2 linked regions of the Caenorhabditis elegans genome follow. Each later gene encodes a partner of the first gene's protein in a complex. Each region holds a gene or a part of one and is shown on either strand. Other genes may lie near its edges. The genes, in order: fem-3 and cul-4.

The links.
Region 2: fem-3 (region 1) and cul-4 share a complex: the UniProt entries of both Caenorhabditis elegans proteins name them as parts of the E3 ubiquitin-protein ligase complex.

The regions. Positions count from the first base shown.
Region 1 is NC_003282.8:9,101,845-9,109,998, reverse strand, and holds fem-3 (Sex-determination protein fem-3), read right to left. Parts: upstream 5,034-8,154; 5' UTR 4,798-5,033; coding exon 4,727-4,797; intron 4,637-4,726; exon of another isoform or gene 4,629-4,636; coding exon 4,284-4,628; intron 4,239-4,283; coding exon 4,160-4,238; intron 3,789-4,159; coding exon 3,441-3,788; intron 3,359-3,440; coding exon 3,268-3,358; intron 2,888-3,267; coding exon 2,655-2,887; 3' UTR 2,392-2,654; downstream 1-2,391. Other genes in the region: aly-1 (Chromatin target of PRMT1 protein C-terminal domain-containing protein), read right to left, coding at 333-802, 852-1,053; C01F6.14 (Ovule protein), read left to right, coding at 5,878-6,102. UniProt on the Caenorhabditis elegans protein: Required for male development. In XO (male) animals, fem-3 directs male differentiation in all tissues. In XX (hermaphrodite) animals, it specifies the first 80 or so germ cells to be sperm. Negatively regulates male development when bound to tra-2.
Region 2 is NC_003280.10:7,298,377-7,307,709, forward strand, and holds cul-4 (Cullin-4), read left to right. Parts: upstream 1-3,724; 5' UTR 3,725-3,734; coding exon 3,735-3,836; intron 3,837-3,882; coding exon 3,883-3,990; intron 3,991-4,036; coding exon 4,037-4,115; intron 4,116-4,156; coding exon 4,157-4,204; intron 4,205-4,249; coding exon 4,250-4,353; intron 4,354-4,400; coding exon 4,401-4,592; intron 4,593-4,638; coding exon 4,639-4,971; intron 4,972-5,025; coding exon 5,026-5,386; intron 5,387-5,470; coding exon 5,471-5,581; intron 5,582-5,627; coding exon 5,628-5,846; intron 5,847-5,892; coding exon 5,893-6,401; intron 6,402-6,446; coding exon 6,447-6,694; intron 6,695-7,045; coding exon 7,046-7,154; 3' UTR 7,155-7,382; downstream 7,383-9,333. Other genes in the region: C30G12.1 (uncharacterized protein), read left to right, coding at 1,195-1,311, 1,360-1,460, 1,508-1,616, 1,823-1,959, 2,005-2,159, 2,216-2,467, 2,580-2,842, 2,887-3,114; brf-1 (B-related factor 1), read left to right, coding at 7,495-7,657, 7,703-7,995, 8,042-8,627, 8,667-8,760, 8,815-9,333. UniProt on the Caenorhabditis elegans protein: Component of cullin-based E3 ubiquitin-protein ligase complexes which mediate the ubiquitination and subsequent proteasomal degradation of target proteins.

The sequences.
Region 1 (8,154 bases):
TTGATCACGTACCGCCTAAAAACGATTGAAATGGGCATTTCCATTTGACTGACGAAGGGATGATATGGGAACTAATATATTTCTATCGACACCTCCTTTTTTGGTTTGATTCATTTTAATGTTTTTTAAAAATAATTTTGAACAAATATAATAATGAAATTACTTTGTTTACGAGGAGATTTTAGCTTTACCGTTTGTTCGCCGTTCAATATGATTTCTTTTTAAATACACGAAACACGGGTGTTCTAGCTTTTGATGTTTTTATTAGGTACAAAATTATAAGTTATGAAAACATGAGAACAAACAAGTAAAATTTGGATTAAATTAAATTATTAGGCTTTTGACATATACACATCGAGCTCCGCATCCAACTCTTCGAGTGTCTTCTTTGGTTGAGCTTCTCTCTTTGGCTTCTTGGCCTTCAATTTCTTTTGAGCTCCAGCCCCTCCTGTTGGTTTTCCTGATTTAACATTCTGCCTTTTTGGTGCTCTTTGAGCTGGTCTTCCATTTGATGGAGCTCTTCTTGGAGCTTCTGGGAACTTGACACGGTTTGCAATATTTGCTGAATCAATGATAGCGAATTTGATCTCCTTTCCGTCGAGTGAGACTCCGGCAAACTTTTGGATGAGACGATCAGCGTGACGTTTTGGGAGAGTCACATCTCCGGTTCCTACTGGTTTTCCGTGCTCGTTGAAGTTCACGGAGACGTTTCGAATTTTGAATTCAGCGAAGAGTTGACGAAGGTCCCCGGAGTGAACGGTGTGGGCCAAGTTTGACAAGTTGATACGTACTTCACGGTTTTCTGGAAATGTTAACCATAACTTAAGAGCAAAATGGCATTTATAACTTACCATTTGCTGGAATAGATCTGTCAACTGTTCTGATTCCTCCACTTTGGCGTCTTGGTTGCGCAGTTGGTCTTCTTGATGGTCCAGCAGTTCCAGTGGAGAATCTCTTTTTAACTCCACCAACTGATGCTCTTTTGATTGGACTTTTCTTTGTTCTTCTGATTCCAGCGGAAAGTGGAGCATCGATAGCAATAGCACGAGCCATTTTGATAGAAGTTCTCTGAAATTTGATTCATAAATAATTGATTGAAGGCAATGAATGTAGAAAGCTGAGATGTAACATTGAAAGAGGGTGAGCAAATGGCAATAAGAGAACTAATATAGTCAATTGACTATTGTTGTACATAAATTAAAATAATGAAATGGAAAAGAGACCAAGTCGGCGGAATGAATGATTGACTCTGTGTGGGATATTCTCTGAGAATGGGGAAATAGGTAAACGCAGCGTTTGGAAGTGAAGACTTTTCAATCGATAGACTAGGTGGATGGAGTATCTGGAGATGGCTACTTGGAACTTCGGAGAAGATGGGAAAGGTCGTTTATCAAATTGGCAGAGATAGTATTATTTTAATTAGAATAGGTAGGTGACATCAAAAAATAAAACACAGAAATTACCAATTTGGGGGAGTTGTTGAAGATTGATTATTAAATTCGTAGTTTCTTTATAAAGTGCTCGATTCTTATCAAGAGGAACTTGGACATCAAAATTTAAAGATTGTAAATTATAAAGTTTAGAAAAATCTAGCCTGTATAATTTTTCTTAGTTTAGCAAAGCTTTAAAAATATATACAAAAGATTGGTAAAATGCGACTTACTTTAGAACTACAGAGAATTTCATATAACTATAATACATTGGAAAAGCAAAAAAAACCATAAATAAATGAAATATGTTATGACCATCTCGGTAAATGAATGATAGAATGAATTAATGCATATAGATCGAGCATCCATTAAAAACAGATCGTTGTTAAAAAGGCGGGACTGGTGCTGTGGAGGAAAGGGTGACGATCTTGGGATTGTTAAGAAAGTTGGCAGATGATGTATCGAATGGGAAAATACGAGTTTTCTAGCACACGCGAATATGTGTAATGTATATCAGTTGAATAGAAATTCAAATTATATTCATGTGGAATTGTATCGATATGTATCCTTTTCAGCATGACTTTTGTACTTTTTTATTCAGAATGACAAAAAAATATTAAAAATTGAAGGAAAGATGCTACATTATGAAATTGATGGTTATATTGGAAAAATATAACTTTCGAAATATTTTACCAATTGAGTCGTAGTAGACTAATTGCCAAATAGTGGGTTTTTTGTAGTTCGGCTTCTAGCAATGAGCAATAAACGTTAAATCAACTGAAAATTACACAAAAACTCGTAAAAGCAACTGGAACTCTTAGTGTTTCATTCGAAATGTTTCGAATGCCACACCCGTACACATTTGAATGAGTGTAAACCAACTGCGCACTCAACAGATGCTATTGTTTGTCTACCAGAGCGCACTTGCGTAGCGTCTAACCAATTGTAAGCAGCTTAATCGATATTATCTATACCTTTATTTTAAATTAAACAAATCTTAAAACAAATTAAAGTGATATGGAACCAGCTTTTTTTAGCAGTGTACCATTATGACATTTTTCAAAATGTAAACCAGAGGATTCGAAAGTGAATGACACAAGAAGCGTTAGTGAGATAGAAGGCAAATCGGTGATATTAAATAGGAAATCTGGGTAAAATATAGAGAGTTAGACTTTCAAATGAAATAATATTAAAATTAAAAGCAAATCATTATAACAATTGATATCATCGTTTCCTGGAGCAATCAGTAGCATAAACATTCATAATCCGAACATCATCAGAATAATGAACTTCATAGAAACGATTTTGATATTCTTCAATATCTTTTTTTCTTTTAATTGTTTCATAATAACCAGATACATCTAGAGGTGAGTAGCGAGAGATTTCAAACGGCGAAATTTGTAACTGTAGACGGGAAATTGAGAAATCATCAATTGCCAAGTCGAATATGATGTCTTCTGAAATTAGAACAAAACATAGTTGTGAAAGAAATTTTTTAATCGAAAAAGTTTCAGAATGGACTCTTTTTAAATGTGGAGAATTTAGTAATACCGAAAACGTGATTTTTTAAAAATTTTTGCTAACATCCGGGTTTGAATTCAATACAAAAAAATGCCAAAATCGAAAAAGCATGTTTTCAAACGATGGATTTTTTATGTCGATTTTTTGTCTTTCTGTTGTAGAATTTAGAAATTTGCGACTATGAAAACAAAAATTCCCTTTACGCTATTCGACTTTTGATGATTTTTTAAAGTTTCGCTTTAAAAAAATTGTGTTTTATATTTTGAAAAACATGTCATGTATATACTTTTAAATTATTTTAACAATAAATTCCTACCAACATTCTCCATGGCTAAACGATAGTGCTCAATACGTGGAAGCCCTCCAAATCCAGTTATGTCGCACCAAATCGTTGTGTGATATACAATCTACAAATGTAAAATAGTTTTTAACGCTTAAAAGCTTTAAATTAATATATGAGTACATAAATAACATTTTTAAAATGCTTACTTCCAAAATGCAGAGCTTCGCAAGCCAATCCAAAACCGTAATAATCTCATTTTCCAGTGGTGGCATTCCAAGTGCTTCATGAAATCTTCGAGCATAAAACTTTGAGAACTCTGTGCCACGTGGAACCACAAACGTAGTATGATACTTGGATTCATCTTCGTTCCAAAAATATTCGGGTGGATAAAAAGCGGCGATATTTTGAACAAGGCGTTGACCACGGGTAGCAGCGTAATTATACATTTGGGAATTGTTCCAAAACTGTGGCATTCCCGGAATATTGAAATAGAGTGTATGAAGAAGAGACGTGTAGTGATTGGAAAAGGCCGTACAATTCGGATCCGGATTGGGCTGGAATTAGGATTTTAAAAAAAGTAAAATACAAACGGAAATGCGCCGTTGAAGAGTACTGGAATTTCAAGATTTTGTTTTTGTTAAATTTTCACCGGTTTTTACATGTTTTCCTGATTTCTTAAAATCCCTGTTTTTTTTTGGTAATTGCGTAATTTTAGTTTTTTAATTAAAACAATTTTCCGAAAAACTAAGAAAATTCCGCAGCGACGAAAGTTTAAAATTACAGTACTTATTAAAGGCACACACCCGTTTTTATTTAACTAAAAATTGTCGTGTCGAGTCGGATATCCCTTTTTTGGTTCAAAAATCGAAAAAAAAATCGGGTAAGTAGAGCTTGTTTTAATTTATGATAAAACAAGGAAACTCACTAAAAATTGTCGAAAATACATGTAAAACCGAAATTCATCGCGATGAATCAAATCTTGCAACTCGAATCGAGTTATTTGACTGAAAATTAAAATTTTATTTTATAAAATTTCAGATTCGCCTCACACTTTCCCGTTCCGCCTTGCCAAATCATACATAAAATTGCAATAAGTTACAATTGTCTTCATTGTTCTTTGAAAAACGAATCGAGTAATTTCATCATTCCTTTCATATCCAGCACCGGCTGTTATTAATTGAATTGAAGTAATTTCAAGAAATCGATCAATTGAAAATTCATCCCAAGGATTTTGATCGAGAAGACTATCATCATAATACGTAGCTCCTGTCAATCGTTGTCTTTGTAAAGGAATTCCAGATATTAAAGGCCAATTGAGATCATCTACTGTTAAATTAGTCACTCCACAGTACTCGTCGAATCTTCTCATTTGTGCACGGAATTTGACATTTCTTCTGAAAACCTAGTTTTTGATCATTTTAGTTTGACTGGATGTGAATTAAAGAATTTAAAACAATTTCAACAAAAAAAAACATTAAAAAATTTAACTTACTTTAATTTTAGTTTCTGAGCTCTCGTTTCTCTGTCAGCTTCTACATCATCTGAACCCGGATCCACCTCCATTACAGTTACAATTGAAATAAATGGAAATCTCTCTTATTTTTACATTGAAATTTCTTGCTGGTCACTTCTTCCAATCCACCGTAGTTAACCGACTGGGTGGTCTACTACCCGTTTCTGGTTTTCTCTGCACTCTCTTCGGAGAGAGTGCAGACAAAATTCTCCGCGTTCGCAGTCCTGGTTCTGTTTCGAGACGTTGACGTCGCCCGACACCACTCCTACAACTGTTCGGACAGCGTCTGCAATTTTCGATTAGTAATATAGTTTTGGTTGTGAATATAATATAAATTGTGAAAAATTGCATTGAGAATTAGGAAAAGAGCATGTGAGAAGAGGAGGGGAATTTTTAGAATAACTGAGAATATAATTTAGAGAAACACGATTACTTCGCATCAATTCAGAATATCTTTTAAAATCTGAGAAATTTTGGTTAAAAAATAACACAGGGCGCTTAGTTTGTGGTTTTCTCAATTCTGTTTAATTTTTAAAACAGTAATTCTTATTTCGATAAACTAAAATGAATATGAAATTTTCTTACGATTAAAAAATGCATGAAACCAGATATAACAAATTGAAGGAAAACTGAAAAACTTCAGAAAGTGTTTTTTTCTGAAAATAAAAGCAGAAAAATTCGAAGCTCGCGCAAAGAACGTAAACGCGCTCCATTGCTAACTCATTTGAACATTAGTTTTTTTCATTGGGCTTTCAATCTTGTAAGTGATGTTTAGGCATCTAAAAGTTTTATAAATTGACAAAATCCAGCTTAAAAGATGCTATCAAAAACTAACTTTTCAGAATATTTATTTGGCTAATGTTTGACCCATACGTTTTTTGCCGAAAAGAATTTCAAAAATGAAAAGTATCTTGAAATGCATCAAAATCCGGGAATATTGCCGATGGTCAGTTTTTCAGCATTTCTAAATTGAGAGACTGAAATGGGAATTTATTTATTTTTATTCATCTGCTTTTTTATTTCATGAATATCCGCATCTGAAATCAGCTTTTTTTTTCAGGAAAATTGATTGAAAGAAGACAATAACAGCTCGTTGTTCAACATCTCGATTCTTCCATATGAATCGATGAATGGAAAAACCGTGGCATTTGGTAAAGTTTTGGCTGGAACCGAAGTTGTCTCCCGCATCGCCTTCAATAAATCAAACACGAAGGGTTCCAAGGCTTGCGTCATCACCGACTGTGGAGAAGTTATCTGAAAGGTTTTATCATAGATTTTCAAATTTTTTGGTTTATTATTATTTCTTTCTTTTTGTTCCGATAAGTCCATATATGAAATTTGTCCAGTTTTTATGAAAATAAACATTTATTTTATTTAATATTTTTTTATTCATCATATGCATGGGGGTTATCATCCTCGCTGTACTTCTGGCTTCGGCGACGGTGATCGCTTGGCTGCTCTACAAACACTTGAGAATGCGTCAAGCTTTGAAGGTTTGATTTCAAAATAAATTTATGAATAACTTCAATAAATTTTCAGCATCTCAATCAGCCACGATCATACCCAATCATCGGTCACGGACTCATCACCAAGCCAGATCCAGAGGGATTCATGAACCAAGTGATTGGAATGGGATATTTATATCCAGATCCACGAATGTGTCTTCTGTGGATTGGTCCATTCCCATGCCTGATGCTCTACTCTGGCGACCTTGTTGAAGCAATTTTCTCGTCGACGAAACATCTGAACAGGGTTCGCATACGTTTTGCTTGAACCATGGCTTGGAATCAGTATTTTGACGAGCCAGAAAGAACAATGGCGTCTTTTTTTGATTTTCTTTTATTGAAGATTTTGGTTCAGAAATTGTGTTGCCTTGGTGCAGAGTGAGAATTTCAATTTATAATTACTTATTTCAAATGTTTATTTTCAGTGAAAGAGTTGATGTTCTCTCCGTTATCGCCCTTTGTACTCTTGATATCATCTGCGAAACTTCCATGGGAATAGCTATCGGCGCTCAACTCGCTGAGGTTTGGGAAAACAACTCTAATCTCAACATTTCTAAATACTTTTTCAGAATAACGAGTATGTATGGGCAGTGCACACAATCAATAAACTGATTTCAAAGCGAACAAATAATCCTTTGATGTGGAATTCATTTATTTACAATTTGTACGGTAGTTTTATCATTAATAAGGTCAATTAATTTGTATTTTTAGAACAGAGGACGGACGGACGCATGAAAAATGTCTTCATATTTTCCATGATTTTACGAAGAAATTGATTGGCGAGAGAAAATAAGCACTACAGGAGAATGATTATAAGATGGAAGGTCGTCTCGCATTCCTGGATCTTCTTCTCGAAATGGTAAACAGTGGACAAATGGACGAAACAGATGTTCAAGCAGAAGGTAACACATTCATGTTAGAGGGTCACGATACAACATCTACAGGATTAATGTGGGCAGTTCATCTTCTGGGAAATCATCCCGACGTTCAGAGAAAAGTTCAAGCGGAACTGGATGAAGTAATGGGCGACGATGAAGATGTGACTATTGAACATCTCTCCAGAATGAAATATCTTGAATGTGCATTGAAAGAAGCTCTGCGTCTCTTTCCATCTGTTTTAATTATTACGAGAGAACTGAGTGATGATCAAGTAATTGGAGGCTTTAATATTCCAAAAGGAGTCACTTTTCTGCTCAACCTGTACCTTGTTCACCGCGATCCTGCTCAATGGAAGGATCCTGATGTTTTCGATCCGGATCGTTTCCATCCTGAAAACTCAATTGGTCGAAAATCATTCGCCTTTATCCCATTCTCAGCTGGAAGCCGTAATTGCATCGGTCAACGTTTTGCACTTATGGAAGAGAAGGTCATCATGGCTCATTTGTTGAGAAATTTCAATATAAAAGCTGTCGAGTTGATGCACGAGGTGAAAATTGAAAGCGCCGCTGATTGGGGAGACTTGCATTTTTTGTATGATTAAGCAATTTAAGCTGTATCCAATATATTGAAAATTATCGCGATGTCTATTTTCTCGCTGAAATGTTTCATTTTGCAATTTTAAATTGCTCTCATAAATAGGCACTATTGAAAATAGAATATAGAAAGTTTTACTTTTTATTTTGAATTTAAAAAATGTTTCTTCTAATGTAAAATTTTTTTCAGTCACAACAAAAGTAAACTTTTTCATATTACGTTTTTTTTTTGAAAGAAATTGTTAATTGCAAAATGAGAAAATTCTAGCGAAGAAATAGATAAATTACAATAGTTTTCAATTTTTTGGATAAAAAAAGCTTAATTAGCCTTTTTTATCCCCATTGGGGATTCCCCAATCGACGGTACTTTGAAAATATAACATGTAAAAATTAAATTTTAACTAAAATTGTTCAGGTCCGTCCAAAAATG
Region 2 (9,333 bases), on another chromosome or scaffold:
ATGAAAAACAATCAAAAATCACTATTTAGAACAGGAGTTCCGTATTTATTCGGATAATTTTCGAACGAATACCGTAGTCGTGGTGTTCGTGGTGAAACCCATTTCTCCATTAAATGCATGTTCCTTTAAATTATTGAGGTTCCGCACGCACTTGAGAGTCCATGGAAAGGAGAACTGGTGAAAAACTTAATATACGAAAAGGTAATATGCTGAAAGGAGGCGTGGCATGTAGGAGAGTAGAAAAAACATTTTTTTCGACTTTTTGAAAAAATAGTAGGCTTGGATTATGTAGTTTCAATATGGTGTCGGGTACTGTATTTTCTGAAAACCCATGTGATTCGAGTTCGCGGCGAGACCTAATTCTTCAGGGACCTAATTTTATACGAATCCCAAGCTGACCTAGTGAAGACCCTGTGTAGATGTAACAGTAAATGTAAACATAGCATTTATATTAATCTCCGTTTTTCTGGAGATCAAATGCTAAGTAGATCAATTGAATATACTTGTGCTCTCAGAGATACCTGCTCCAAAGTCGATATTTCCTCACTCTCAACTCTTCAGAACTGGCAGAAAGTGTATGAATGAGTGTTGTTATGCATAGTATTGAATATTCTAAATTTATTTTCCATGTGCTTTGTGCTTAACATAGCTTGACCGTTTTGATTCTTTCTTTACAATGAAATGGATATACATCTTCATCTTTTTATTCTCGGGAGTCGAATGACCGTTTCAAAAACTTCAAAGTGTGTAGAGCATGCAAAAGCAAACAACGTGAAGATTCTCGACAAATTTAGTTTTTTTTTTTCTTCCCGACCGTCCGTTCGCCGGCCATCGTATCAAATTTCCTCCCACCTCTATTTCATTGTCATCTCCATTCCAACCCCTTTCTGACCTTTAACGAGAATTAGATTTTGTCTGTTTGTGTATATTTAATTTTGGAAAACAAAGCCTCACATCGAAAAAGGTTGCAGGCTGGCCGATCGTACGAGCGTATTGTGTGTGTGTACGAACATAGAGCGTCCGATTGCATAAGGTTCGTGTAAAGCAGCTTCCGGCCGTGGGAACAACACCATAGTTTGTGTGCCGAGAAGCGACGCCCCTTGTCTCCTCACAGTCCCATCTTTGTTCTTGCTTCGTAACTTGAACTCATCACGACCAAATAGAGTCTTTGACTAGGTGTACCCTTTGGTTGCCATGGTTAAAAGTCTTCATTATTTTATATTACCTTTAATTGGTAATGCCCTAATTCTAAATACACCACCTGAATATCAACCTGGATATGGTTATGTTGGACCAGCATGTGCTGTATTTGTAAGCATTCGTAGAAAACAATTTGAAAATATCTTCCAAATCTTTCAGGACAGTACCCTATTCCTTCATGGTGTTTCCAAGCGAAAGTTGAATGATCACGAACTACACATATTTAGTTCGTATCAGCATGATCTAAGTGCATTCAAAGAGTTTGTCATTCTATTCTCGATTGTTTTGAAAATTAAGCGTTTTACAGTTCATCATCTTCATTTGATTCTTTCGAAGCCTCGTTTCCTACAATTCCAAAATTCTGTGGAGGGTATGATGATTCTATTGAAGTGGTGTTGGATTCTTGTATTGTTCGAGTAAGTTTTTTTTTCCAATTGTGTATAGTTAGAACCATCTGGTTTTAATGTAAATCTTCAATATTACGGTATCAGGGGTCGACACGATCGGAAATTGATAGGTCAAAGACGCTTCGAGACCAATTACCGTATTCTTTTGTCAGAATCTATGAAATAGTCACTTCACTTTTTAATTACTACAATTAACAAATACGGTTTTTTTCTAGAATAATCACGTCTACGTTGGAGATCATCTTATCCGACCATTAACAAACTTTGAGAAACAGAAAATACAGTTAGTTAAAATGAGACGAATGTATGGAGAATCAAAAAGGAAACGTAGCAAAAGAAGCTCGAAACCATTGTAAGTTCATCCAATATTCTGCATTTTCAAATAATCTTGTTTCAGGCCTGGCACACGACCACAAAGAGATTTTAGTGAAATGCTTCACAAACTTTTGAATATTAACTCTACAGTAACTTCTCGATTCCTTCCAGTAGTTAGTCAAAGTCCTCTCTTTGCAATGGAAGGTCCGTGGCAGAATTTGTTTGAACTCGGGAAAGGTGATTTCCTTTCTTCGAGATATTTGTTATGAAAATTAAACATTTCATTATTCCAGATAAGGATATGATTGAATTATTAGCTGCTTCACAATTTAAACCCCAATTACCACCCGTTGCATCAGTTCCAGTAGCTCCAGTCATTGATATTACGAAGATTGATTCTCCGTATAGAGCCACTTTTACAACAATGAAACCAAGAAAATCACAGAAACCAGAAAAAAAGAAAGAAGTTTTCAATGTTTTCACTACTAAAACTAATCCTCAAATTACCACGACTACTATGACAACCACAACAAGAACATCCACAGGTAACATCTACAAGACAACTATTTGAAAAATTCAGTATATACAACATTTTCAAAATTGCAATTTATAATTAATAAATTAAGTTAACATCCGATTAAAGCTGTCAATTTTCAGCCATTCCAACAACTACCACAACTCCAAGACAAATATCACTTCAAACGATTCCATTTTCAACCACAACTAGACAACCAAATTTTGATAAAACCAAGACTCCTGCAACAATGCCATCAGCTTCTTCTTCTTCACTTTCAAGTATTCAAACAGTTGTTGATCCAATTATCTTGAAGTTAATTTCAAAGGCATTGGAAAAAAATGAAATGATTGATGAATATTCATTGAAACAGGCTCTATCGATGAGAAATGTTGCAACTACTACTGTAGGTTTAAATCTTTAATACATCTGAATTATCAATTATTTCAGACTCCTCTTCCACTTCGTTTCATTCTTCCAACACCTGCAGCCCCAAATCCATTTCTACCGTCTACAAGAGTTGGAGGTCTTTCTCATAATCATCTATTCATTCCCCATCAACCGTTTACTACTCTTGTTTCGACCGATTCTAGATATTCTGCACCGAACCCTCTTTCTCATCGACTTCCAAACGAGATTTGCCGAGTTCATATGAATTCAAATCCTTTCCATTTTTAGTTTTATTACTCTACCAAATAATTAAACAGACTTTTCCTATCGGGTCCCCTAATTTTCTTTCATTTTTCAGGCATCTCGGTTGTTTTTTTCAAAGTATTTTGACCTAATTTTCCATGTTGAAATTAATAAAATATTTATTAAATGAACACAAACACAGATGTTGGAATTGTCTTCTTCTGGTCAAGTACTGGATATACTCTCTTTTTTTGATAATGCTGAATTGATAAATTTTTGGTTCCAATGAAAGGATCAAACATTGTAGAAAATCTTTACAAAAATAATTGTAGACCTACTATTATAATAAATACAGTTTTATGCAGAGTCTGCGTCTCTCAATATGAACAGCCTCTCAAGCACTAGAGATGCGCCAGCACGCCGCGCGTCAGCAAACGTCTTTGGCCTCAGTTTGCCTTCAAAATAATGCATGAGTTCGGCATTTCAAATATTATTTAAGCCAAATTGTTTTTCTAAACTGCGGAAATCTAATTTTGAGAAAAGGAAATTTTAAATCCAATCGTTTTATTTTAATCTTAAAATATCTTTCTATATAAAACCGCCAACCGTCCTGTTTGTTTCTTCAGAGATACTAATAATCTAACATTTTCAACAGAACAAATTGGATGACATCTGGAGCACCACCGACTATTTCAACAGAAAAAAGTCGAAGTAAACAGCTTCGAAAATCGTCAAAGCGCACAGCCAGCACCGTTGAAGGTACAGAGGTAGTAATTAAATAATATTTTCAATGTGAGAAAAAATAAATTGCAGGCTAAGCAAATGCGCGGCGACACTGAAAATCGTTCCGACGGAGAAATGGACGATGTTTCAACAAGCAGCGAAATCAGACATGGAAATGGATTTATTGAGAATTTCAGAGTGAGTTATTAATTTATTAAAATGTTCATCGGTGGGAAGTTTTCAGAGTCAAACCGGCAATTCTTCACGCACAACCGCAACAAATGAACGCATCAAAAAGAAACTTGTGATAAAGAACTTTAAAGGTAATATTTGTAAAGTTTTCATTAGTTATTTTGATTTCCAGCGAACGCGAATCAAAATGATGTTGCGATGGGGGACACCAATATTGATAGTAAGTTTATTCTTCGATAGGTGTTATATTTTGTTTGATATCCAGGTACAGACGGATCAGTTGGTAGAGATTGGGCTGTTCTTTCGGATAATGTTTTCGCTATTCTTGAAGATAGGAAAACAGTAACCACTTTGGAAGGCTTATTCAGCGTAAGTTTTTGATTGTTTAAAACATTGTAAAAACTGAGCGTTTTCAGAAGGTCAGATCTGTGTGCGATAAAAATCAATCAAAAGTACTTTACGATCGTCTCGTTGCAATTGTTGTTCAGTTTGCAAAATCATTAAAGGAGTCGTTAAATGCGGTTGAGCAAGTTCCTCTTGCAGAAGACAATTGTGAGCAATATTTGGAAAAGTTTGGGCAGATCTGGCAAGCATATCCAGTTAAAATCGTAAGTGAAGAGTTTTATTTAAAAAAAAACAATAGATTTAACTCAGAATCTCATCAGGAATATTTTTCTTCATCTGGACCGAATTGCGCTCGGCGCTACAGACACAGAAATTCTCCCTTTGTGGGAATGTTTCATGCAAATATTTCAAAAAACATTCTTCCCGAACATTTTCAAGGAATTCAAAGCAACAAAACTGTTCAATGCTCTCTATATGGCGATGCAGAAAATTATGCAGAGGTATCCAGTGGACAGTCCTCTCAGAAGTCTTGTAGATATGCTTCAAACAGTTCATGTGTCTGAAGAATTTGCAAAATTCCTTATTAGCCAACTTCGAGAGCACTATAACAATGAGAGAATCGATAAAGTTCCAAAAATGAATGTAGGTTTTTATTTTCATTCTTTGAAAAATCTCGATTACTTATATTTATTTTAGTGCAACGATTACATGGAATACTGTGAAGACCAGATAAATCGATATTCGCAATTAGTGAAAGTGAACTTTGATGAACCGTCGGCTCTAAAAGATGTTCAGGCAACAGTGACAAACTGTCTCATTCAACAAGCAATTCCTGAAATTCTCACACATGATTTTGACGATCTTATCGATTCTGATAACATTTCGGATATCGGCCGAATGTTTAATTTGTGCCGTCAATGCGTTGGTGGAGAGGATGAAGTACGTACACAATTCTCAAAGTATTTGAAAAAACGCGGAGAGAAATTGATTGCTACGTGTCCTGATGAAGATCTTGTTTCTGAGCTACTTGCTTTCAAGAAGAAAGTTGATTTTATCAGTAAGTATTTCAAAGTTCTCTGTTATTTTTATTATTATCAAAAATTTTAAATTCCTCATACGTGGATCATTAATCATATTTCAGTGACTGGAAGCTTCAAATCCGCAAATGATCCAGTAAAAATGAGACAATGTTTGTCAGATGCCTTTGAATCTTTTGTAAATAAACAAGTCGATCGATCTGCAGAACTTATTTGTAAGTCATAATTCGAAATTTCTATATTATAATTTCTATTTTTCAGCAAAGCACTTCCACACACTTCTTCACAGTAGCAATAAAAATGTATCAGACGACACAACTCTCGATCAAATGGTAGATGAAGCTATTGTGTTGTTCCGATATCTTCGTGGAAAAGACGTTTTTGAAGCATATTATAAAAGAGGTCTTGCTAAGCGGCTTTTCCTTGAAAGAAGTGCATCTGTTGATGCTGAAAAGATGGTTTTATGCAAGTTAAAGACAGGTATTTAATACTTTTTAGTTTTCAAATTAATAACTTTTTGATTTAGAGTGTGGCTCGGCGTTCACATACAAATTGGAAGGAATGTTCAAAGATATGGATGCATCTGAAAATTATGGAAGATTATTCAACCAATATCTAGAACATATGAACAAAGAAAAAGCGAATTTCACTGCTCGAGTCATAACTCCAGAATATTGGCCAACCTATGACACATATGAAATTAATATTCCAAAAGAGATGAGAGATACACTTACCGATTATCAAGATTTTTACCGTGTTCAACATGGAAATCGGAATGTTAAATGGCATCACGGACTGGCTTCTGCGGTTATTTCTGCTTCATTCAGGCCTGGATGTAAGAAAGAATTAATTGCAACAATGTATCAAACTGTCATTCTTCTTCTTTTCAACAAATGTGAGACATGGACTGTCGCTGAAATTGTTGAGCACACTAAGATTCTGGAAATTGAAGTCGTCAAAAATGTGCTTGCACTTCTTGGTGGACGTGATAAGCCTAAGGTTTTGCAGAGAGTCGAAGGAGGTGGATCCGAAAAGGTAACTAACTTTTCATTCAACTCAACTAAAAATGTCTTTGTTTAGAAGGAAGGTACTGTGGAAAATTTGAAAAACGAGAAATTTGTTGTAAATTCTAAATTCACGGAGAAGCGCTGCCGAGTTAGGATTGCTCAGGTCAATATAAAGACAGCTGTGGAAGAGACGAAGGAAGTGAAAGAAGAAGTGAATTCTGATCGACAATACAAAATTGACGCTGCTGTTGTAAGAATTATGAAGGCTCGAAAGCAGCTAAACCATCAAACTCTAATGACGGAGTTATTGCAACAATTGAGGTAAGTTTTCAGAAAAAAAACTTTATTTTTAAATTCAAAAAATTCAATCAATTTTTTATTCGAGAAATAGTAATATCAATATAAGCCGAAAAATAAAAACTGGTTTTGAAATTTTTTATGAAAATATTGAATGTAAAATATAAATTGGCACACAACTACAAACCAAAATCAAAGGAAATGTAAAAATTGAGAACTTTTTCAATACTCTCAAAAACATAGCATTTAGTAAATTAATATGAATTTTGACATTTTGAAGCGATTTCCTTGATAAAAATTTGTCTAAATTTTGCTAAATTTGCTGCTAAGGTAAAATAAATGTTAATTATTCTAAATGAGTTTTTTTTGTTTCAGATTCCCCGTGAGCACCGCCGATATCAAGAAACGCCTGGAATCACTCATCGAACGTGAATATATATCGAGGGATCCTGAAGAGGCATCTAGCTATAATTATGTTGCGTAATACATAATATCATTTTTATTCCTTTTTCAAATTCAATCCTTATCCGTGCCACTGGTCTCTTCTCATCTCGTTTGCCCTGTTATTGAACAGTTTTCTTCCTTTATTTGTGCGAGTTTCGTCTTTTTTAGAGAAAAATGTACTAAATGTTAGTTTCTGTTTTTTCAATTATGTTTTTCTCTTCACCTAACATGTGCATCCAAAATACTGTTGAATACATGGTTATTTGATTGAATTCTTTATACGAAATTACTCGAATCGGTTGAAATATCCGTGATCTTACATTTTTTTGGTTTTTTTTTTCTTAATCAATTTTCAAAGTTTCTCGTTAAGCAGACACAAAATGGTTCGAACCTGCTCGAACTGCGGAAGTTCTGAAATTGATGAGGATGCTGCTAGAGGAGATGCTACGTGCACTGCGTGCGGAACTGTGCTCGAAGAATCCATTGTCGTAACTGAAAATCAATTTCAAGAGCGAGCTGGTGGATCAGGTCACACTCTAGTCGGTATGTGGTAGGAATGTTAAAAGTATTTACAAAATGTTATTTCAGGTCAATTTGTGTCCTCAGAGCGAGCTGCAGCTAACAATTTCAATGGAATGGGATCTCAAGAATCTCGAGAAATGACGTATGCAAAAGGCCGGAAAGTTATTGATGAGCTCGGCAGTCAGTTACGAATAAATTCACATTGTATGAACACTGCATTCAATTTTTACAAAATGTGCGTATCTCGTAACCTGACACGTGGACGTAATAGATCATCCGTTGTTGCTGTTTGCATGTATATAACTTGTCGACTAGAAAACACTGCTCATTTGTTGCTCGATTTCAGTGATGTCACTCAGGTATGACATTTCGGTAAACTTTTGTAATTAATAAGTGCAATTTCAGATTAATGTCTTCGATTTGGGAAGAAACTTGAACTACCTTTCTCGTTCATTGCGTATCAATCTCCCATCCACGGATCCTTGTCTTTACATTATGCGATTCGCATGTGTTTTGGATTTTGGCGACAAACAGAAAGAAGTTGTGAATTTGGCGACAAGACTAGTACAAAGAATGAAAAGAGATTGGATGTCTACTGGAAGAAGACCAACTGGAATCTGTGGAGCTGCTCTTTTAATTGCTGCAAGATCTCTTAATTTCAATCGATCCATTAATGATATCGTTCGTGTTGTACACATCAGTGAAGGCGTAATCAGAAAACGTCTCGATGAATTCAGTCAAACCCCTTCGGGAAGTCTTACGATTGATGAGTTTTCAACTGTTGATCTAGAACATAGTGAAGATCCACCAGCATATCGAGAATCACGACGGAAAGCACGTGAGGATCAATTGAGAAAAGAGGCTGAGCAAGCAGAATCAATGAAAGAACAACTAGGAGAAATGGAAGCTCACGTTGAAGCTGCACTCGATAAGAAGAGGAAGGAAAAGTTTTCAAAAAGTCCATATGCACGAATGATTAGTGAAAATCTAGGTAAGGAAAATGATAAAATGCAGACGCTTACTGAAACAGTTGTGGAGAGTTCAGGGTTGGAAAAAGGAGCTGATGAAATGGTACGAAATGAAATTATCAATACAGTTTTCAACGCTGCTGAAGAAGATCCTTGGTGAGTTTTCTTTGTATTTTTAACTCTAGGTTTGTTTAAATATTGTAATTACAGCACCTCGAACTCATTGGAAAAATATGATAAGTATCGTCCTTCGCTGGAATCTCTTGGAATAAAAAGAACATCGGAGCCAGAACCCGAACCCGTCCCACATCCAATAGTTAATGCCGATTTAGAAGAAGACATCTCAGATTCAGAAATCGATTCGTACATTCTGACGGAAAGTGAAGTAGCCATCAAAACAGATTATTGGATGAAAGCAAATGGAGAAGCAATGAAAGAGATTGAAGAGAAGAAACGCGAACGTGAATTGAATGGTGGAGTAAAGAAGAAGAAACCGAGATCCAATCGAAAAACTGACACCACGTCTACATCTGTTGCTAGTGCCGTTGAGAAAGTTATTGCGGAGAAGAAATTATCGAATAAAGTGAACTACGAGATGTTAAAAGATTTGGAGACGATGGCGACTGGTATCAAGAGAGATATACGTGAATCAACTCCGGCTCCAGTCACTCCAATTTCAATCAAAGTTGATTCGTCTGACGTCACTCCCGATACCTTATCTAAAAGTGA